3 linked regions of the Stegostoma tigrinum genome follow. The protein of the gene in region 3 interacts with the protein of the main gene of each other region in a pairwise test. Links are inferred from orthologs where the notes say so. Each region holds a gene or a part of one and is shown on either strand. Other genes may lie near its edges.

Evidence for each region.
Region 1: the proteins of hoxa1a (region 3) and spry1 interact in binary tests that used the Homo sapiens proteins (3 or more experiments, as listed by UniProt). The two-hybrid records come from large-scale screens. The link is inferred for Stegostoma tigrinum from reciprocal best matches to the Homo sapiens genes HOXA1 and SPRY1.
Region 2: the proteins of hoxa1a (region 3) and fam221a interact in binary tests that used the Homo sapiens proteins (3 or more experiments, as listed by UniProt). The link is inferred for Stegostoma tigrinum from reciprocal best matches to the Homo sapiens genes HOXA1 and FAM221A.

What each region holds. Positions count from the first base shown.
Region 1 is NC_081354.1:34,544,998-34,552,453, reverse strand, and holds the start of spry1 (protein sprouty homolog 1), read left to right. Parts: upstream 1-4,285; 5' UTR 4,286-4,727; intron 4,728-4,766; exon of another isoform or gene 4,767-5,569; intron 5,570-6,549; exon of another isoform or gene 6,550-7,325; intron 7,326-7,456. UniProt on the Homo sapiens protein: Inhibits fibroblast growth factor (FGF)-induced retinal lens fiber differentiation, probably by inhibiting FGF-mediated phosphorylation of ERK1/2. Inhibits TGFB-induced epithelial-to-mesenchymal transition in lens epithelial cells.
Region 2 is NC_081355.1:76,556,909-76,565,144, forward strand, and holds the start of fam221a (protein FAM221A), read left to right. Parts: upstream 1-5,065; 5' UTR 5,066-5,127; coding exon 5,128-5,192; intron 5,193-5,465; exon of another isoform or gene 5,466-5,490; coding exon of another isoform or gene 5,491-5,522; intron 5,523-8,236.
Region 3 is NC_081355.1:57,632,480-57,639,890, forward strand, and holds hoxa1a (homeobox protein Hox-A1a), read right to left. Parts: upstream 3,351-7,411; 5' UTR 3,299-3,350; coding exon 2,659-3,298; intron 2,213-2,658; coding exon 1,860-2,212; 3' UTR 991-1,859; downstream 1-990. UniProt on the Homo sapiens protein: Sequence-specific transcription factor. Regulates multiple developmental processes including brainstem, inner and outer ear, abducens nerve and cardiovascular development and morphogenesis as well as cognition and behavior.

The DNA.
Region 1 (7,456 bases), on a different chromosome or scaffold from region 3:
TTACAAGTTGGCATACGTTCCACTCAGTGCATATGTTATAGTTTACAAAGTAGATTGTGATAATGACTGAGCTTTGATTCAGAGCGAATCCAAACGAGTAAAGAATGATGAAACAGCTCATAGAATGAAGCAGCTCATAGCTTCCAACTTGCTGTGCACCATCCGGTGTCATACCCTCTCCACACTCTTGCAGAAGTTCCCCAGAAGTAACTGCTGTGCATTTATTTTTGCTTGGGGCTGTTGTGAAATGCTCCCCGCGTAGTTAGCAATGGATGAAACACTAAAAACGTTGCGTGGCGTTAAAAACGCAGAAGACTGGGTGTAATGCCCATTCAATGTGGCAAAATACAGTATATGACACTCTAGGGTCCCTCACTGAAATTAACCCATATATTTAGATTACACTTTTGGATTTAACAGCTTCCCTCATTGTTCTCCTGCATAATTGCATCCCATCCCCAAGACCTCCCTTTCTGACCAGGGACGTTGGGAAAGTGGCAAACTGCATTGCTGGTTCAGGATATCTCCTTGCGTGAAATGTTCAGTAAGTTTTGGGCAGTACAACTTTTTTTTCACCTGATCCAAGGTCTTCCAGCAGCAGTTGGTGTATGCCTCAGTGTTTATCCCTTGACTCAAGGTCCTAAATAACAGAAGCTCCGTCTTACAGTGTTATTTGGGATTACCTTACCAACAAAACACTACATCTTTTTCTCAGAGATAGTAAGAACTGCCGATGCTGGAGTCAGAGATAGAACAGCGTGGAGTTGGAGGGGCACAGCAGGCCAAGCAGCATCAGAAGAACAGGAAAGTTGACGTTTCTGGTCAGAAGGAGGGTCCCGACGCCAAACCTCAAATTTTCGGCTCCTCTGATACTGCCTGGCCTGCATCTCTTACTCACTAGACTTTGCAAATATAAATGCCAGAAGGGTACTATCAGGACAGCATGGGGTGACTCCGTAATACCGTTTAGGCAGGAAAGATCTGACGGGGAGGACACCCTCAGCCAAGGTATCACTTTGTAGGTGGGGGGGGGGGGTGCATTAGCTCGGTTGGCTGAACGGTTGCTGTGTGATGGCAACAGAGTGGGTTCAATTCCAGCGCCGGGTGAGGTTACTATGAAGGACTCTCCTTCTCAATCCCTCCTCTCGCCTGAGGCATGGTAACCCTCAGGTTAAACCATCAGCATTTGCACCTCTGGAATGAGAGAGCAGCACTATACTCCAGCAAATTTGCCTTTTATCACGTGGTGCTCGTTTGGTAGACCTGGCAATGGAGTGGTGGTTCTGCCCAATGACTATCAGTCTCTTCAGAAGCCATTCAGCAGGACCCTATTGACTTGTTTTCTTTACCTGCACTGACTTCTTTTTTGACTGATAAGGGGTATGACACAGTCCAGCTGAGAAACATGTTGGTGACAATATAGCCAGAGCAATGTTTCATTTTCCTTGCCTTTGGGTAAATTTAGAAACATAAACCATGGATAGTGCATTTTAAAACCTGTATAGACACCACGGGTTGGAGTGTCGTCCTCTTTTTCTCACCAAATGGTGTGAAGCCCGTGTAATGTGTAGTTTGAAATCAGACTGCAACCAGACTCCAAGAGGAATGGTATCTACCTTTATGTTACCGCAGAGATGCAGTTCCCAGAAACGTTAACCACCTCAATTCGCTACAAAAAAGTGTTCCGGAAGCCATGGTGTTATCGAGGAACTGTTTAGTCCGGGAGGGCTCTCAGTGCCATCAGATTTCAGAACCTGATGCCAACCTTAAAACAAAGGCAAAAAAAAACTGGGAATGCTGGATATCTGAAAGTAAAATAAAAAATCAATGTACTAGAGAAACTTAGCAGCTACGGCTGCATCCGTTTGGAGAGAAATAAGAGTTCACGGTTCGGAGTCAATATCAATCTTCAGCAAACTGCATTTCTGAAGAAGTCATGCTGGCTAAGACAATAAGTCACAGGAGCAGAAATTAGGCCATTCAGCCCATCATGGATGATCAGCTTCGCCACCCCATTTTCCCGCTTTCTCCCCGTAGCCCTTGATTCCCTTCACAGTCAAGAACTTATCCATCTCTGTATTAAATACACTCATTGACTTGGCCTCCACAGCCTTCTGTAGCAGTGAGTTCTGTAGATTCAGCACTCTCTGGCTGGAGAAGTTTCTCTTTATCTCCGTTCTAAAGGGTCTTCCCTTTACTCTAACGCTTATAAAGGATTATAAAAAAGTGAAGGGCATGGAAAGGGTGATTAGTGAAGGTCTTTTCCTCAGGTCAGGGGTGTCCAAAAGTAGACATAAGTTTAAGATGTGAGGCGAAAGATTTAAAATGTACTTAAGGGGCAATATTTTCACACAGAGGGTGGTGCATGTATGGAATGAGTTGCCAGAGGATGTGGTGGAGGCTGGTACAATTACAATAGTTAGAAGGCATCTGGATGGGTACATGAATAGCAAAGGTTTAGAGGAATATGTGTCAAATGCTGGCAAATGGGTCTAGATTAGTTTAGCATATCTGGTCGGCATGGAGGAGTTGCTCCGAAGCATCTGTTCCTGCTGTACATTTCTATGACTGGAAATTGTAACTTGTGTTTCTCTGTTCATAGATCTAGGTCCAGCGGCGTTTACTACTTGGAACCGAACGCCGTTTTTTCAGCATTAGTTGAGGCTTACCACGGGGATTGTAGTTTGTAATTACCGATGCAGCGCACTGGTCTTCTTCCCGCGTGTCCTTAGCCACTGACTTCCGCAACGTTGCTGCAAAAAAAATGCCAGTGTAGGTCATCATCAGTATTTGGGTGAAATCGACTCCATTCAAGGAAATTGTCAAACTTGATCCATTGCCGTGTTTCAGATTCAGTTATAAATGCACCGTCCATGTGCGGAAACTGCACATCAAAACGGATTCATTTTTGTTCGAGCGTGAATGCAAGGGAAGAGAGGTACGGCAGAGGTTCTCTACAATTTGTGACTGTCTTTCTACTTGAAATGTGCCAACCCCCCCTAAAAAAACACAATGAGGGAAGTAAAAAAAACACTCCCTATTCAAATGATTCTTAACTTCTGCTGGGAAGGTGTTTGCATTTCGACTGTACATTGTGAAATACTTTCACTGTTTAGTATGTATCAATAACTGAGCTAAATGGTGCCATGTTGAAAATTGTTTTAAATTCCCGTCTAAACGTTGCTAAAAAAAAGTTTCAAAGTAAAACGGCTTTCCGGAATTAAGAGGAAAAAATGCGCATTGAATGACGTGCTATAATTTACCCAAGAACGTTCTGATATTGGTTGTTAAAGTTTTTGTAAATTGTTACCATAACACAGTGTGACTTGCAGCAGACCCGATGTGTAATACAGCAGACTGGGTTGACTGGTTCTGCCGAAACTCTGACTGACACATTTACCATATGAAAAGATAAACAGCGTCCATCAATGTCAGAAAACCAAAACCACAGACTCATTCGTACCGTAAACCTTGGATGCTATCTGTCGAGCTCATTCGAGCGAGAAACATTTCTTGATCCGCCCTCCTTGTCTGCCCTTCCCAGGCGTTGGGAGCAGGCTGCCTCATTGATAGCCGCGAGCACGGTGAGGACTCGGAAATAAATGTAAAAACAAGCTTTCGCTCATTGTGAAAAGCAGCAGCAGTTACAGGTAATGGCACATCAGCCATGCTGACAGCTACACCGGCCTTGCAATTGGCATAAGTACGCAGCTCGAGACCTCCCCACATACACTATTAAAATCGCAAAGCAGAGCTCTCATGCTTTTGAAGAGCGGAGCATAGCACAGAGACTAAACAATTGGTCGCAGATTGGATATCGCGCCTCAGTTATTTGCTGTTTATTTGCCTGATTTCGCCCATAGAACCAATGTTCGGGCCGTTCACTGGCGGTTTTGTTTGTTGACTGGTTATTTCGGGGTAATGGGGATGTGTAAATATTCGCCCGGAAAGTGTCTCCTACTGGTGGCAAGGGCAACTAACTAAGCATTGAGACCCCACGCGCACCCACCGGTCGCACACCTATCTCCATGGAGGAGATCATTTTCCCAGCACGGGGAACAGTAATCATAAAATAGGTTTGTGGTGGGTGACAATCTATTTTCTACAGTTGAAATGTCCTTTTAAAATGCACTGCACTGGATATGTTCCGAATTCAGCGCGCTGCTGACCCAGTGGCTGCCAAGGAGTTTACTCCTTGGAGGCGGGGTGGGGGGTTGGGTTGGTGTGCGGGGAGGTACTAAAAAACGCAGCTACCAGATACTCTCACCATTGAAGTGTAGGGAGTCTGTGGACCTAGATGAACCAGCTTGATTTACTCCTTGTGTGCCTTTGTCTCTCTACACCATGGACGGTGGGAAGACAAGCCTTGTGTTTTAACAAGGTGGACATATCAATGAGTCGATTGAAAAAAAGTAGTTAAACCTGGATAGGGGATGCAATATTGATGCCTCTCGTCAGACTGGTTTCAGAGAGGCAATATTCATTTTTAAAACATGAATTAGGCAGAGATTATAGCTACTTGTCAGCTTTGGCATGTCCATTATGTAAGGAGGGAGGGGTTTGTGTCAGTTCTGACATGGATCATTTTGGTTAAGTCAGACTGTATGAAATCGACCCTTGATCTCTTGTTGTTGTTTCTGGGACTGGATTTGTGTTTTTGCCGGGCAGGGGTTTGTTGTTGAATGGGACATGTGGTCTACACCTTGATGTTCGATCACACCAACAGGGTAGGTGTCTCTTTAAATTCCCTTTGCAGTTTCTGTAGAACTTGGCGTTGCCGTTTTAAGAGCACTTTGAAGTCTCCATTTGGTCAGTTCCTTGGCCTCCGGGTCTGACATCTCGGCTAATGAAATTCCCTGATAACTGGTCTGGAAGGGTTGATGGACTAACAGATAAATCCCTTAATTTCTTTAAACGGGTCTTCAGCCGTTCCGGTGTGAAAGGCGGTTTAATGATCAGTCAGACTTCAGATGAAAGGGAAGCCAGAGGGTTAATGAATGAGCGATTTCCTGCGCAAATGAAACCAGCCAAAGAGCCACAGGTCGCCCCAAAGGAACATTCAAAGAGACAGGACAGCAACAAAGGAAACGCCTGTACTTCGTAATGCATATACTGTACTCAGGATGAACGGAAGAGGTTCATGTGTTCTGCCAGATTATTAAATGTATCATTAAAATACGCGGGCGAACACACGCACTGCATCTCTCTATATAAACAAACAGGCTGTCCCACTTTGCAGCTCAAATTCGCTTAACGATTACAACCAGGAATCATTTAATATTCCTCATAAATTATTCCTGAAGACATTTAGTGTAGGTTCCCCGCCCCATTCAGAAAGTTCCGTGGATTGGCATTAACATTCTCAGCATGAATACGGTGGCAGGAGACAGTTGTTTTGGTGCATTCAAATGACTGGAGCTACAACAAAGAGGCGTTTAGGAAGTCGGGATTTCCCCCCAGTGTGATCTGAACACAAAAGCATTATCTAAGGGTAGGAGCTGCTGGAAATGTTCAGCTCCTTAGTACCTGGACTTTCAATATTCCGATGCACGGTTTCTATTTTTTGTTGGTAAGTAAAAAAGCCCAAACATAGTTAAAAAAAACTAAAATACTTGTATGTGTTCAGTAATGGCCTTTGAAAGCGAGATTTCGTCGTTGCGGGTCTCTTTTTTGATGAATGTTTCCTCTGCCTCTTTTGAAAACCACATTCGTTTTTCTCATCTGAAAGCTTTCTCTGTATAATGGGAACCAGCAGGATGCGATAGAGGGAGAATTGCACTGAATTCCGGTCTGCGGTTTATTTTACAAATGAATAATAAAGCCGCCGAGGGCCCAAGGCAGCGTGAGGGGCTCAGATGATTTTTCTCCAATGGCTCGTTTAGCAATGAGGAACATTTTATTTTGCTCGTAGAACACGGATAGGGGTCTGCGTGTGTGTTTGTGTGTGCGAGAGTATGTTTTGTGTGCTTCGACAGCCAAGATACAAAATGTGTATTTTCTTAAATCTCGCTGAGTAAGAATATGGTGAGAACTGCAGCAGAATTGATACACGACTCTAACAGGAAATAATGTTTACGTTTAATGTTTCAATACAGTTTCTTCAATGCTTAACGTTACTATGAAACAGAACGTAACTAATTTAGTCTGGCATATGCATTATATGATTCGTGGTAAATTGCAGGGGAGGTTGTACGGGGAAATCTAAGTGAAATGAATTACAAGCACCCAACGCGACAGCGATTGTCTCTGGTCGGATGCGCCGCTTCCTCCGATCCAATTAGCGGGACACTACCCACCTATCTGCTCTCAGCGGCAACCAGAGTCCCCAGGCCCGACCAATCCGCTTCCTGGGAACAAAGGAAAGGGGCGGGGAAGAAGGCGGGATCCTCACACCTTTATCCAATCAGAACCCACTAACCGGGGCCGGCTTCGGCCCAGCCAATCAATGCTGACCGGATGCGCCGTATCCTCTTCGTTTCACCCCCCCCATACCCCCGGACACGGGGACCAATCGGCGGCGTTGGAATGCGCCCTTGCGGCTAATGAGCCGCAGTGGAATGCGAGCTGGCGACCAATGATGGTGTGTGTTTGTGCGGGGCTAGCGGTGGAGGGGACGGGACGAGCGGTCGCCAGTGCCACTGAGGACAATTGGAAAGCGGACGGCGCCGCTACGGCTGTTATAAAGAGGAATTGTGCCGAGATTTAGCTTACCACAATAACAGTGCATAGGAGCAAAGCTTCACTGATAGTCATTCACACACACATATACATAGGCAGCAGAGTTTTGGCACAAGGTTGGGAGCTCAAACTCTTTCAACACCTACAGCAATCAGGACCAGGGCAAACCGATGCACCCAGAGACCGTGCGTTACAGGTGACACCTTCCGTGTGTGGCAACCAAGGTGCAGAAATAAAAGTCTTTGCGGAGAGCTTGACTGGTGGCCAAACAAGGAGACGGCCTTGGCGACAAACCCCCACCGACAGCGTGCTGCGGGAAGCGCCGCTGAGGAAATCACCCGAAGGACGCTGCAGCGAACGGGGCCAGAGCGCGGAGTGGAGTGCGCCGCGAGTGGTTGGCAGCACCGCCACCCATCCCCGCCCCCCGCCCCCGCGGCACGTCTGCATCTCGGGGTCAGTGCAGCGTGGGCTCCTGCTCCTTTTAGCTTCACAAGTTGCCCTCCCGTTCAGTCTTGTTTTCGGTTCGACGACGCGTCTTCTAAATATACATTTGGCTGATATAAGGCTCGAATCTGGATTTACCTTGGAAAAGACTTGGCTAAGGCAGTAATAAAATGGATTTGTATTTGGTGGATATATGGAAATAGGTAAGATCCCTCTATTTTATAGTTTATCTAAGTCTTATCTAACTGGATTACTTTTACAAAGGCCTATGTTTTTTTCATATGATTGTAATCCCTACATGCAAAAATGAATGTTTACTTTTTGTTGCCGGAGA
Region 2 (8,236 bases), about 19 Mb from region 3:
ACCTCTCTCACCAGCACCTGAAGAAGGGCTGAGGCTCCAAAAGCTTGTGTTTTCAAATAAACCTGGAATATAACCTGACGTCCTATGATTTCTGAACTTGCTAAAAGTTGAGCATCTTCCCACTTTCAGCACGAGAAGGTACTCTGTTTACCTAAGTAATTTGTCACAGCGAAGTGTACGCCGACACCACTAACTTTTGGCAATGTCGCAACCGGAAATGAGGGGCAAGTAAGTGCAAGTGGGGAAGAATGATCAAAGATGACGGACAAGGCATTAAGACAGTTTCCCACAAAAGATTCCTGTGGGGAATCAGAGATCGGCATGTTCTATTTTGCCAAAATCAAACAGCTCACTGACTCCTCATGCGTGTATGTTCTAAAACCACTGGGAGGCCCAGTCCTCTATTCCAGGGAGCCAGACTTCAGTAATAGCTCAGTTGACTGAAGCACCACTATCTCACTGGGCCATCACTATCGACCCCAACTGGGTCAGGAAACCCCGCGAACACGTAAAGACCCGGGCAGTGGTTGTCCTCTGCCGCCCCTAACCCGTTGTGACACCATTCCAGTAGGCCCACCCTCACTCACCCGCTGGCCTCCGAGTTCTCACATCCATCCCAGCAGCCCCTATTCTCGCGTACTGCGCATGTACGGCCTGACTGGCTGTTTCAACCTCAGGGCGGGGCAGGAATTTGTAGAAACGGAATTATTCCAATAAAGGAAGGAGCCATTTCGCCGGTACCAGCTCTATGAATGAGTGCTATTCTCCTGTCTTTCCCCCATAACCTTATATGTTGTTTCCATTTAAATATATCAGTTGATTCTGCCCCCATCACCGTTCCAGGCAATGCATTCTAGACGTAAAACCATTTGTTTGGAAAAAAATACTTTTTCTCACATCACATATGTTACATTTGCAAATCACTTTAAATCAATGCCCACTCATTCCAGGAATGGGGACTGTTTCTCCCCATCTACTCTCTTCAGACTCTTCATGATTCTGAAAACATAAATTCTCTGGGCCTAGGTGACGGTGAGCATGAGGGGGCACAGCTTTAAATTGAGGGGTGAAAGATATGGGACAGATGTCAGAGGTAGTTTCTTTACTCAGAGTAGTAAGGGAATGGAACGCTTTGCCTGCAACGGTAGTAGATTCGCCAACTTTAGGTACATTTAAGTCGTCATTGGAAAAGCATATGGACGTACATGGAATAGTGTAGGTTAGATGGGCTTAAGATCGGTATGACAGGTCGGCACAACATCGAGGGCCGAAGGGCCTGTACTGTGCTGTCATGTTCTATGTTCTATGTTCTCTCCAAAGAGAACAATCCAAATCTCCACTTTCTCATCTCTGGAACTTTTTTTTTGTAAATCTTTTGTATGCTCTCTCCAACACATTCACATTCCTAAAAACACCCAGAATTGCACACAATACTCTGGCTGAGGTTGAACCAGTGTTTTGTATAAATTCAGTATAATGTCCCTGTTCTTGTACTCTATGCTCTGATTATTAAAGTTCAGGATACTGTATGCTTATTAATGACTCCACCTGTCTAGGAACCTTTACTGATCTATATATACACACACACACACCAAAGACCTCTACTTTGAACTCCCTTAAATATTGTGCTCCTTATTTTATATTGTCTGTCCATGTTCTTCCTACCAAAATACATCACTTTGCACTCTTCACATTGACCTTCATATGCCACCTATCTGACCACTCCATCAACTTGTCTATATCCTTTTGACCTCTGCTTTTTTAAACAGAAAATAAGCTGAGAGTAAAGCACCCTCAATACTGCTCTAATGAAACAATCCCAGGACATGTACAGCATTGGTTAGATACAGAGTATACACAGTAAGCTTATTCTAGCTGTCCCCATCAAACACTCTCAGGACAGGTACAGCATGGGGTTAGATACAGAGTGAAACTCCCTGTGCTGTTAAATTGAAAGTAAAGCTCTCTTGACATTGTCTTCATCAAAAAACACTCCCAGGGTAGGAACAGCATGGGGTCAGATACAGAGTAGAACACCCACTGCACTATCCCCATCAAACTCTCCCAGGACAGGAGCAGCATTAGTTTAGATACAGAGTATAGCCCTCCCTATTCTTTTGAAACATAAAGTAAACTGAAAGGCAAACTCATTCACCACTGCCCCTATCAAACAAACTCAGGACAGATACACTACAGCATCACATAGAGATTAAGACCCCTTATACTCTTTTAACCTGAAATTAAAAATGCCCTTACTCCTTTAAACTGAAAGCTCCCTTGAACTGCTGGGACAAGGACAACATGGGGTTAGATACACAGCAAAGCTTCCACTACTGTTTTGAACTAAAAGTAAACAGAAAATAAATGTCTGTCACCACTGTTCCCACCAATTCCTCCAGGGACGGGAACAGCACTGGGTTGAATACAGAGTAAAGTTTCCTGTATTCTTTTAAACTGAAAGTAATCTGGAAGTAAAGCAGCCCAAAACTATCCCTATTAAACTCTATTAATCCCTATTAACCTCTCTGATGAAGGATCTAGGCCCGAAACGTCAGCTTTTGTGCTCCTGAGATGCTGCTTGGCCTGCTGTGTTCATCCAGCCTCACATTTTATTATCCTATTAAACTCTACCAGGGTGGTTACAATATGGAATAAAAATACAGAGTAAAGCACTGTCTATTCTTTTAAAACGGAAAGTAAAGCTTTCTGTGCTCTTCCAGGGTAAAAAAACAGTTTCCTCTACATAGTCCCCATCCCCTGTCCAAGGATAGATACAGCACTGGTTAGATACAGAGTAAAGCTCTCAAAACATTCTGACACCTTTGAGCCAGAGCTGAACCAACTGAGGATGACTGTTTTGAGACAAATACAATCCTGCGCTCCACCAGCTGAGCTATTGAAGGACAGCCCTTTAGGACCTCCACACTGTCCTCCTCAGTGTATACAATACTTCCAAGTTTCCATCCATTGAAATTATCTCCTGTATACAAATATATGGATCATTATTGTATATCAAGAAAAGTCAAAGTCCTTGAATTGATGGTCCATGTGGAACTCTACTACAAACCTTCCTCCAGCCAGAAAAATTTCCATTGACCACTACTCTCCGTTTCCCATCACTCAGTCAATCTTGTGACCACATTGCTATTGTCTATTTTATTCCATGAACTATAACTATCATCACAAGGTTGTGTGGCGCAGTATTGATTGCCTTTTGAAAATCTACATTTTTTTTGTTTATTCATTTTGCCCGATGTGGGCATTGCTGGCTGGCCAGCATTTATTGCCTGTCCCTTGTTGCATTATTGAACCTCTGTAATCCACCTGCTGTGGATTGACCCACAATGCCATTAGGTAGGGAATTCCAAGATTTTGACCCAGCTACAGTGAAAGAATGGCAATATATCTCCAAGTCAGAATGGTGAGTGACTTGGAGGGGAACTTGAAAGTGGTAGTGTTCCCATATATCTGCTGTCCTTGTCCTTCTAAGTAGAAGTGTTCATGGGTTTGGATGGTGCTGTCTGAGGATCTTTGATGAACTTTTGCAGTGCATCTTGCAGATATACACACTGCTGCTCCTGAGCATCGATGGCGGAGGGAGCGGATGCTTGTGAATGCAGTGCCAATCAGGTGGGCTGCTTTGTCCTGGTTGGTGACAAGCTTCTTGAATGTTGGGGTTTCACTCATCCAGGCAAGTGGGGGGTATTCCATCACACTTGTGACTTGTGTCTTGTAGATGGTGGACACAAATACATCATATGAACATCATTACCACATTGACCATTTCCGTTGCCATTTCAAGACACCCCAGCAAGTTATTTGAAAACAATTTCCTTTAGAAATCTATGCTGGCTCTTCATAAACAAACCACATTACCACATCTGATTACTATCCCAAATAGTTTTTAGCAGCCTTCAAACCACAGAAGTTAAACTGACAATTTGCTAATTGTTTAGCTTCTGTCCAGTTCATCTAATCCTGATGACTTGTCAAATTTAAGTACCCATGGCCTCTCCAATGCCTCCTCCTTATCAATTTTGATACAACATTGGGGGCAGGAGTGATATGATGTAAATGATTTTGAATGTGAAGAAGTTAGTGAGTTACATTAATCTGAATAAAATTAGTTCTTTAAACAAAACAAGGCTTCAGACAGTGCAAGAACACTTGGCCCGCGAAGAGAGAGGGAGAGCAAAAAAAGTATTGGGGAGGGAGAGGACCGCAGTGGGGTTTGGGAGAGAATGGTTGGACAGAAGACGGTGTACAAGCGGTATTAGTACTCCCTGTCCTGCCGTTTGCAACAGTGAGAACAGTATGGCTGTAACAGAAAACGCTGGAAAACCTCAGCAGATCTGGCATCTTGTATAGAGAAACACCTAACGTTTGGAGTCTAGCACGAGTTATGAACCACTGCCCAGATTTTCAGCACCCGCATATTTTTCCTTTTTGATAGCATAGTTCTCTAGTATACCTAAGAAAATTGCCTCGCTCCAATTGTACGATTCATATTGTATATTGACACAACTCGTCGAGCTATAGTGTACGCATCGTGCATTGAAGGTAACAGGGTGTGGAGCTGGACGAAGGGTCTCGGCCCGAAACGTCAGCTTTCCTGCTCCCCTGATGCTGCGTGGCCTGCTGTGTTCATCCAGCTCTACACCTTGTTATCTCAGATTCTCCAGCATCTGCAGTTCCTACTATCTCGTGCATTGAAGGGGCGCCTACAAGATGTATAATACTTACTTGCGTTTACCATGCACTGTATTTACTACTTAGTGTATATTAGATTAACTACACTGTGTAAATTGTATTAAATTTACTCCACATTCTGCACAGTACATTTACTATGAACTTTGTGAATACTACGAATATATTGCATTCGGGTCAGTGTTGTATTCACTGCGTTTGTTGTAAATTGTGCGTATTGCTTATGTCACATACTGTGAATATTTATACATTGTATTAAATTTCGTGCTCCGTGTAGCACTTAGTATATTAATCGTATACTCAGTTCACGATGTACTCTGTAATAGTATCTTCAGTGCATTGTCTGTGTTCACCGTGTGTACCCTCTTCACCCTCGTGTCCTTCTGGTTGCTGGGTGATCCGTTGCTCAGCAACAGGCGGATGGAGCGGATCAGTTTGAACGAGGAGGCGGCGGCCGCTGTCGATTCTTATGTCGAATATCGGAGGTTAGAAACCGCTTGGCACGGCTCCATCCGCTTATATGTGTGTGTGGACCGGACCCCGAGTTGTGTCCAGTCCTGGCCTGAGCAAAGACGGAGAGAGCGGCCCACACTCACCACGCCCAGAGCCCAGCTCCGCGCCGTGACACGGGGGTGAAATCACTGGGAGGACGCTGCTGTTTACACGGGTTCATCCTGTGGAGCCAAGGTCCAGCCACCCGTGAAGCAAACATGTTCCGGAGGTCTTGCTGTATCTGCCCAGAATCTGTCTGTTTGGGACTGCAGTCTGCCTTTGCATAAGAGAATGTCCGGTATTGAGGTTTCTCTGAGATTGAGGTCTGCCTGGAATTAAACTCTGTCTGGGATTGGAGTTTGCCTGGTAGTAGGCTCTGTCTGGGATTAAGGTCTGTTTGGGAATGGCGTGTCTCTGAATTGGGGTCTCTCTGGGATTGGGTTCAGGGTCTGTTTGGGATTAAGGTCTGTTTGGGAATGGGGTGTCTCTGGATTGGGGTCTCTCTGGGATCAGGATTAGGGTCTGCCTGGGACTGGGTGTCTCTGGGTTGGAGTGTCTGTCTGGGATTAGGATGTCTTCAGGATTGGTGTCTGCCAGGGATTAACGTCTATCTGGGATTGGATTGTCTATAGGATTGGGATCTGCCTGGAAATTGGATATGTCTAAGATTGGGGTCTGTCTGGCATTAAGGTGTGCCTGGAATTGGGATATGTTTGGGACCATGATTTGGCTAAGATCAGAGTGCCTCTGCGATTGATGTATGTGTTGGATTAAAGTTTATCTGGGAACTTGTCCCATCTGGTATTTACATTTGTTTGGTACTTTGATTTTACTGGAATTGGGATCTGGCCAGGGGTTGGGATCTGACTAGAAATAGTTTTATCTGGGGTCAGGGTCTGTCTAGTACTTGGATTTGTATGAAACTGGAGTCTGGCAAGGATTGGGATTTGTCTGGGACTTGAGTCTTTTAGAGACTGAGGTCTGTCTGGTGCAATAGTCCCATTGGCCTGGTTTGAATCTTAGTTAGCATCATTCTGTGGCTATTGGCACAAGGTTGCATTTCAGTCCACAGCATTATACCATCAGGATAAAATGAAAAGTTAGTTCTGATGAGACAGCAGGCAGTGGCATTATATTCCCCAGACAGAGGAAGCTAAGAGTAGATTTCATAAAACATATTCAAATTAAGAAGATTTTGTGCACGAGTAAGGATAAATCCATTGTTTTGGCAGTAATTAATGAGGTGTTGTTAATTTTACATAATCTCTGAGAATGGTGGAAGGGTGACAACAAATTTTCTTATCTGGCTTGTAATACAGAATACTATGCCACAAAGGATGAATAAGCAATCAAAGTTGCACCTTTTATGGCAGAGGGCAAAAACTTAAAGAATGAAAGAACAGGGAAATCAGTTCCATCTGCATGAAAGCTTTAACGCTTGAAGATCTTTCTTATGAAATTATGTATTTAAATACATTGTTGTCGAGAGCCCAGAAAACACCAACTCCGGTTATCAGCTTATACAGAGAGTAGTCAATTCTGGTAACCTCACAAATTACTTTATTCGTGTATTTAAACAAGGCACATGTTTCTTAAATGTTTTATCTCAAAACTGGATCTTATATATTTTCCCACAAACTGAACTAGGACCTACTTATACACCCACTGGAGTCCTCTGACACTCTCTAAGTAGTCTCAGGATATAAACGCCAATATCCTATCGAGGGCTGAGGCTGGCCAGGTGCTGCACTTGATGTCATCACCACATCCTTGATGTAGGATCTGCTTCTGCTATGGTTTGCCTCTGGAGTTTTTGCTGGCTGTGTGCCCCAAGGTTTTTTCTCTTATCTCTGTCAAGTCATGCTGTCTTCTTTCCATTGGCTCAGGCTAATTCACTTATCACATGTCTCTACCTTATTGGCACTGGCCCAGAGATATAGGTGGCATTATCTCAACATTTCTCATCCAAACAAGGCTTTTGCATTATCTCATCTTTCTTACTTTTTGCAGAACTTAGTTAATTCAAATCAGTTTAAATTGGCTCAAACTAGCACCTGGGTGCAGTCCATTTTTAGTTCACAAGCTGCTTCTTTCTTCATGCCAGCACCTTTGCATTCAGTACCTCTTTTTAGCGATGTTGGCAGCTGGTACCCTTCTCACTCTTTATCTTTCTGCAACTTCTGGCTAACATTTCCCCAGGCAGCGATGCTGGCAGTTTATACTGTTCTCTCTCTTTTTCTAGCCCTCTGCAGCCTCTGGCCAACATCTCCCCTTTCTTGATCCAAAGCTACTTATCTTGGGATCATTCTTTGTCCCTTTTCTGTGGAGCATAACTCGGACTATCAGTATTCCCCAACAGATGTACCACATCCACAGTGTTCTAATCTTCATACAGTTTCATTTTTTCACCTTATAAGGTGGACATACATTGACTATGACGATTACTAATGTACATAGAATTGCTACTACAGCAGCATTCAACAGAATTCTAACTCATGGATGTATTTGAACACTGGTTCCCAATTCCAGAATCTATCCCACAACCTAGGGTCCTGCAACTACTTTCCTTTTTCAGCATCAGTTCTAATTATTTTAGTGCGTTAGGTCCATTGATGAATTATTTCTTTTGCCTCACCCACTATAATTGTCCAATCGGCTGTCAGGTGCGGGATGGGTTGTAGTTCAGTCAGAACAATCAATGTGATCTTGACAAGCTTCAAAATCTCCCCTCCCCCAATCGCATCCCAAAACCAGCCCAGCTCGTCCCCGCCTCCCTAACCTGTCCTTCCTCCCATGTCTCCACTCCTCCCATGTCAAGCCTTACCCCCATGTCCTACCTACCAACCTCATCCCACCTCCTTGACCTGTCCGTCCTCCCTGAACTGACCTATCCCCTCCCTAACTCCTCACCTAACCTCACCTTTACTGGCTCCAACCCCACCTCTTTGACCTGTCTGTCTCCTCTCCACCTATCTTCTCCTCTATCCATCTTCTATCCGCCTCCCCCTTTCTCCCTATTTTAATTCAGAATCCCCTC
Region 3 (7,411 bases):
GATAAACCACGGGATTATTTTATCGCTTTAAAATGCGCTACATTAATGCGAGTCTTTTTCTACCTATTGTCTGAAACTGTTTTAACTCTCGCCTTCTCGAGGTATTCTTAATGTACAATTGAATGAATTGATAGCAAACTAAATATCCACTCCAATAGTTATAACAAATCGGAGGGATATTGTTTAATTCTTGACAAATTTTGATTTTGTTCAATCTGTTTCCTTTAGTAAACGGAAAGTGATGCTGGAACCGCTGAGTAGCACGTAAGACAAAAAGTTGGAGGTTTCTTTGAAGCTCTTTTGCGTCGAATGTAATCTTCCAGGGGAAGACAACTCTACAGCAGACATCACCCTTGATATGGCCGACATGCCCTACAACACCATCGACTTTTGCTTATTGACACCAAACTGCATCTAATCATGTTTCTCAAGCAAATGCTAGCGACATTCTAGTCACGCGGCTTCAGCAATCTGTTCAATCAAAACAACTCGAGAATAGTTTAATTTGGAACCTTGCGTCGATAAACTTGTGTTTTCCATTTCTTATACTTCGTTTGCTAGAGTGTGACTGTGAATGCGGTGAATTCTTTGTTGCATTTTGAAGCAAGTCAAGTTGATGACAACCACTGTCATTGGAGAATGGCCTGTTTACATATATGTAAATAAGCCATTCAAGGTGAAAAGGTCAGTGTTTAGATGCACTCTAAGAAGCTTTTAACATTGCAAAAGCCACTTTAAAGACCCGCAGGTATTTCCTGTGAATAAAATAACTTGTCCTATTTGACTTCATGAACTGTTACCTATCAATAACCGAAATTAAATAAAACGCCAATTAATAAATGAAATAACTAAACGTGATGTTTAGCAGTGTCCGGGATCTGAAGGACGATTTTGAACATTGTTGATGGGGGTGCAAGTTCATGCCGAGGGTCAAGAAACTGTAACATGCTTAAGATAACTTAAATGCAACTGTAACATGATAGAGAAACGCAGCATTTTAATATAATTTATTATTTGGACCCGTAAATTCTGTCCTGGATTTCAGTCACAGAAAATCTCAGAACTGATTCAAATCACGTGCTGATTGTATAATACATCTAGTCACACAGAAGAACTGATAAAACTCAGTGATGGGTTAAGCACACACTGACAGCGTTGTATCATGCAAAATTCCGTACACAAATCACAAGGAAAACAATCATTTGGCCGTAACTTACATTGACAGGTAGCTTACGAAATTAAGTCCAACAAATATCGGAGTAAACATGATCATTTTGAGGTATTTTAACAAGGTGCTACTGCTGGTCTTCAGACAGCCCATGTACTTTGGGAGGGGAACACATTTAACATTGCTCAAATTTTACACAGCCCAGTGCAATGGTAATTTCTGTACATAAAGTCGTCCACAGTTTAAGGAGAGGTCCCCTATCTACTCAGCTCTGCTTTCTGCAAATACAAGAAACATTTCACGTATATTTGATTCGTTGATAACATTTTGCTTATAAAAACTCTACAGCTATGTCGCATAAGACACTGGCTTTCTTTTTTTTAGAAAATACTTGTAAAAAGATAAAACTCTTGACAAAATATATACAACCAGCGCAGCTTACAATATATATGCAACACATTAAATTAAAATAGGACAATTATACTATACAGTAGTTGGTTCTCAGTGTAAACACTTCTATAATAGTGCATCTCTGGTGCATTTAGAGATTGGCTGATTATTTTCCCCAAAGAAAATAAGTTGATTTGGGGTTGTTTCCCAGACATTTATGTCTCATTACATATTTCCCTCCTAACTTGAAACAACTATCAAATGAAAAGGTTTCCAGTTGTGGGGGCTGCTATGGAATCTTTCAGCCTGAAGTATGAATCGTTTCTGAGGTAGATGATGATGGGGAGGGTGTCGACGAGGTAGAGATCGATTTGTCTGAGGTGTCTTCTGTGTTTGCTTCACTCCCTGGAGTGGCCGGAGAAGCTGAGGCGAAGCCCTCCTTCTCCCGCTTTTTCTGCTTCATCCGCCGATTCTGGAACCAGATTTTTACCTGGGTTTCGTTGAGATGAAGGGCAGCCGCAATTTCCACACGTCTGGCCCGGGTCAAGTACTTGTTGAAATGAAACTCTTTCTCCAGCTCGGTTAGTTGCTTAGTGCTGAAATTAGTTCTCACTGTGTTGGGCTGACCAGCAAAACCATACTCCCCAGCCTTCCCTAAATCAGTGAATAGAAAGGAGCACATAACAGGTGAGTCAGGCAAGGAATCGTACAGGTAGGCTGTGACAATTGCTTGGGACAGCTAGATTCGGCTGACTGCATAGATAATCAATCATTCCCTTTTCAGTAGTTTGGGAATGTCTTGTCATGAAAAGCCGAAAAGCATTACACTACAACTGTTGCATGTCATCAGCTAGGTGGTGTTGAAAATATGCCTCACACAATGCTGATAAGACTGGAAAGGAAAGAATAGATGGGGGAAAAAAAGACAATGTAGACGAAAGATGCAGCCATTCGATCATCTTAAACAACATGCAACAGATCAAGATTTCTTTCAACTCGAGTCTGACACGCTTTCCCCCCCACCGCATCTGCTAGTATCGGCTTTCACCTGACAATGATTTACCTGTGGAAAGATATTGCACCTCGAAAATAGAATTTACCTGTTTTCGGAGGGTTCCTCTTCACCTTCATCCAGTCAAAGGTTTGTGCTGGGGGAGGGGTCTCAGCTGACGGGGAGCAGCAAGGTTCTTGATGGCTGCCGTGGGCGGGGGACGACGGGTGACAGCCTGTAGCTAGGGCTAAACTCGGCTGCTGCTGCTGCTCTTGCCCGTAAGGGTGATGGCAATATTGACTTGGCCCCACCATCCCACCATAGCCGTGCTGATGAGGGCTGATGGCCGAGCCAATGTTCCCAGGGTAGACAGCAGGAGCACACTGAGAGTACCCTCCGTTACCATCCGCCTCTTCATTCAATGAGTAGTGATGATGACTGTAGCCTGTGCTAAAGCTCTGGGCTGGGTATCCTGCCCCACAGTTGGGATGGGCACTGTAAGAGATACCCAGGTTGTTGTGATGTGTATAGCTAGGCTGGTGATGGTGACGAGGAGGAGGTGGAGCACCTATTTGGACACTTCTGGCCACGATGTAGCGTTCATCAGCGGTGCAGTTATTATTACTAACGGCACAGGACTGGTAAGTTGCAATTCCTGGATCTGCATGGTAACTTCTGGAAGAGCAGGCCCCAGTGTCTCCGTTAATGATGGAATAGTCTAGGAAGGTGTTCATCCTTGCATTGTCCATCTGTCACTGGGGTATAACCAGCATATAAAGTCCACCAGCCTGGATGGACGGTGCCAACTTGCCCACTTCCTCAATGGGGCTGAAAGAAACTGATATCAATATACAGGCAAGTGTCGCCACGTGACCAAACCCGCCCAATCGCCGGGCTGCCTGAGAAGTTTGCATGCTCTTGCTGCTGATCGATCACCGTTTTACTGGCATTGAAATTCCAAACGCTCTCCCATCAAGGTTACGCGCATTATTAGCCCGCGAATGCATTATACTTCAAAGCATGCCCAGCAGAATGCAGCAGGAATTTGTTCAAGATGCACGTACTGTTCCTTTCCGGACCTGCAGCGCCATTTAAGAGTTACCGCGAGTCTACCATGGGGAGTAATAGCGCGTTCCGCTCAGCGCAGCAGCTTCTGTCTCAGGTAGGTCGCTGGATAAATACCTAACAGCCAGACCCTGTAAGGGTAAGGGGAATGGCATCAGAGTGTTCCACTGTAAGGATGAAATCCGTGTCCCTCTGTGGTGTCTCAACTGCAGCATTGTGTGTCTGCGAGAGCGGTGATTTGTTTTTCATGCTGAGATAGGTTATACGTAGGTCGGGGGGAAGCTATGCAAAGCAGATCTGTTGGGTGTCAGATCATTTCGCGCACTTTAATGAAAGAAAATCCAGGTAGTTGCTGCAGAGCTGTGTTTCGTTCAGGCCTGCGCATATTGTGAACTGATTATACCCCAATCACTGCAGCGCAACTGTGAAGATTACCCTGAAAATAAAAGGATAAGATGATTGATTGGACGACGAGCTTTATGGCCCAGAGATTTGTATTTAAGCTATATGTGATCTGGTGCGCTGTTGTAAAAGGAGGCGCCTTGCCTTTACTGTGCATTAATGTCACAAGGAAACATGCAACAGCCTATCAAGGCCTGGCCTTTGCCAGTCCTCAAGTTTCTCGCTATTGGCATGGAAATGAGCAGGCTCTTCAATCGAACACAGGCTGGCGGGAGCATCCCCTCACTATAGGGTTACGGGCAGCCAAAGTGTCTTCGAGATCATATTGGCTCCCTGCCTATTTATTCTGGTTGAAGCGGGAATCAGACGGGTTGCTTTCCACACCGATATGAATAATAACAATCCCTGGCTGAGGCATAATGTAACCAAACGTGGTCGCTTGCAAGGCGCTGCCACCCATCTGTCAGCTTCCTGTAGAGACCTATCCGAGCAGTCAGGGCCGGTGGTGATTTCAGATCAATCTAATGCACATTACAGAGTGACGTTGGTCAGGGTTAGATACAGTAATTTACTCGGATTATTTAGTTACGACAAATGGTGGTTCCTAACCCTGCTGTAAAACTGTAAACCAGCACTGGGGAATGGCGATCACACGAGGAACAGGGAGATTATTTAGGCTTTTGGAAAGTTGACGCGTAATTAATTAATGTAAATGCCTCAAAAAAAGGGGGATTTATTTTAAGTATTGATCCACGTGCACTGGAAAAGGAGCTGAAAATTGCGATGTGTGGTCTGAATGTAAATTCTTTACTATATTGACTTCATGAAATTAGCAAAAAATAAATTACCTAAAAGTAAGTCTCAAGAAATGTATTTGTAAAAAAAATACTTCTGGCCAATGGCAATTCTATCAGCTGTATAAAATATTGCTCCCTGATCTATTGAATAATGCTCTGAAAAATTTCAGTTTTCAATCCCAAAGCAAAACAAAAAGAATTACACAGAACTGACTTGCAGCCCTCGAAGAGAAAGAAACCTTTGTTGTTGAGTGCGATAAAACGTCTCTTGTTTGTGTTCACAACGGTAATTTTACCGAAATATATCCGGACTTGATTTTTGGCCATACACGAAACTCAACAATAAATCAGCACATTCCTCCCACTGTCCGTATGTTCTCTAAGTTAAAACAAATGAACAAATTTACATTCAGCTCCGCCATCTTTACTTACTAGGTCTGAACACTCACTGTAGCGGAAAGTGCCAGCTCAAAAAAAAATCTGGATTGAATCGATTTCAACAACAACAAAAATTGCCTTTTCTGTTTTTCAGTTTTCTACAATAAAAAAAACGCCCTTCCGCCTCACCACCATCATCCCCTTCTCTTCTCAGTAGAAGGTTTCTATTGAGGGAGCTTTTCTAATTCTTCCCTGAGATGTCCGCCCCATCCCCCCGCACCCCGGTAAAACCAAGGCCTGGCTTGGAGCATTTTCGGGTAATCGCCGTCACCATGCGCCGTCCAGCGTGCCTGAAAGCCCTTGGTACTGAGGGACCGGGCGCGTCTCTTCCATTGTGCTTTCGGTTTAAGGACACGTCTCTTGTAGCAAATTGCCCATTATGTCGTGTGAGGACTTGTTTTAATCGCGACAAGTTATCGACAATGTGTCACTATTTGCCCGAGCGGTTTGTTTTTAATAAGGAAGTGTCGCCTTCCCTTTTCACAAGATTACAGCAGCCCGATAATTATATATATATATATAAAAACCTGGGCACAAAGCCAGTAAATTCAGTATGAAATTTAGAAAAGAATCTTTCCTATTATTTCTCTGTTTAATGATTAAACAATTAGAACTTCAGTCTATCGTTATAAATTCTCACGCAGGGAGACTAAATTCGAAGGAAGTATCAATAACAGCAGTGGAAAACGCCGTGCTCCTTATATAAAACAGTGAAAATGAATCACGACTCAACGCCTACAAGTTAGAAACTGACAGGGGTTCCCTGGTCCAGGCAAATACGTAAGATGTTTTTTTTGTATGTACTGCTGCGATTGATCCATTTGATGACATTCTCATTCATAAAAGAGCTTTGATTTATGAGTTTGGGAAGAATTACCTCCAGAGCTGTTCCTGTCACTGCTTACGCAAAAGCCCAACGTGCTTTTACAAATGGCAACACGAACACATTGTCCACCGCCACTAATAGTGAAAGTTCCTGATCAGTTGGAAGAAGCTTGCAACGCGTTCCTCGGCAGAGGGGGTGTAGGAGGAGTAGGATGATAGAAGAGGCATAAAAGCAAAAAACAACTGCCGCCTAAAAAGCCTAGCGCACAATGCGAATGCATTCCTACAGCTGTTATTTCATTTACACAATACAGCTGCAATAAGGAAGCACAAAATGCTTTATGTTTTTAAAAGATATGGTCCCAAGATTTACGATTTTGTCTTCTGGAGACTTTTATTTTAGGACGGAGGACTGTGACCGATTAGGCATTTGGGCTGAAATAGATGTTTTTTTAAAGCGCCTCACCGGCTTCCTCTCAGACCTCAGTAGCTTCTCCGTTTTTTGGAAAACAGGGTTGACTTGTATAAACCGGGTTTCGTTATTAAACGCTTCATTTCTGAAATAGTAAACTACTTAGTAAGGCTGGCGATCTTTAGGATCAGTTTATTTTGTACGTGGACGAGTTTTAATCTGACTTGCTGCAGTAAAACATGTGGAATTCTCTGTTGTTGATACTGACTGGCAGTAAGACAGATAAGGAATTGAGGAATCAGCAATAAAGATTAGATTCTGACATCAATAAACAGAGGTTTCTTTAATAGCAAGCACACGTGAAAATGAACACTCCTAAACTTTTCCCCTTCTTTCCTAGATTTTCTGAGTGCTGACAGATGTATCCATGGGGTGTGAACTTAAGAAGATTTTTCTTCGAAATGTGATTAATTCCTTTTTGCCTTTGTTTCGTTTATTCTGTTGAAGTGTTAATATTAAAATCCGGCGCCACATTTTTTGTATAACTTAATAAAGGCAATATTAATTGACTTTTCTTGAGCCTTGGTCTATACCACGGGCAATGTTAGTGGAAGTTTTAAAACACAACTTTCTTGTTGTTTTTGTGGAGTCATAAAATAAAGATCCTGGATTTTTTTATTTTTCTTCATCTTCTTCTTCAATAAATACTGTTATGAAAACGTAAATAACGACACTGACCAGACTGCTCAATTTTATTAATGCATTTATGTGAAAAAATGAAAGTTATTTATTAAGTGAAAATAGTCCTGAGAAAGAAAATGCTTCAGGATGGCTACCTGTAGCGTGTAAATGATATGCTCTATCAAATTATTTATGACAATGTACCTTCAAATAATACAAAAGGAAAAGAGGGTAAAGTAGAT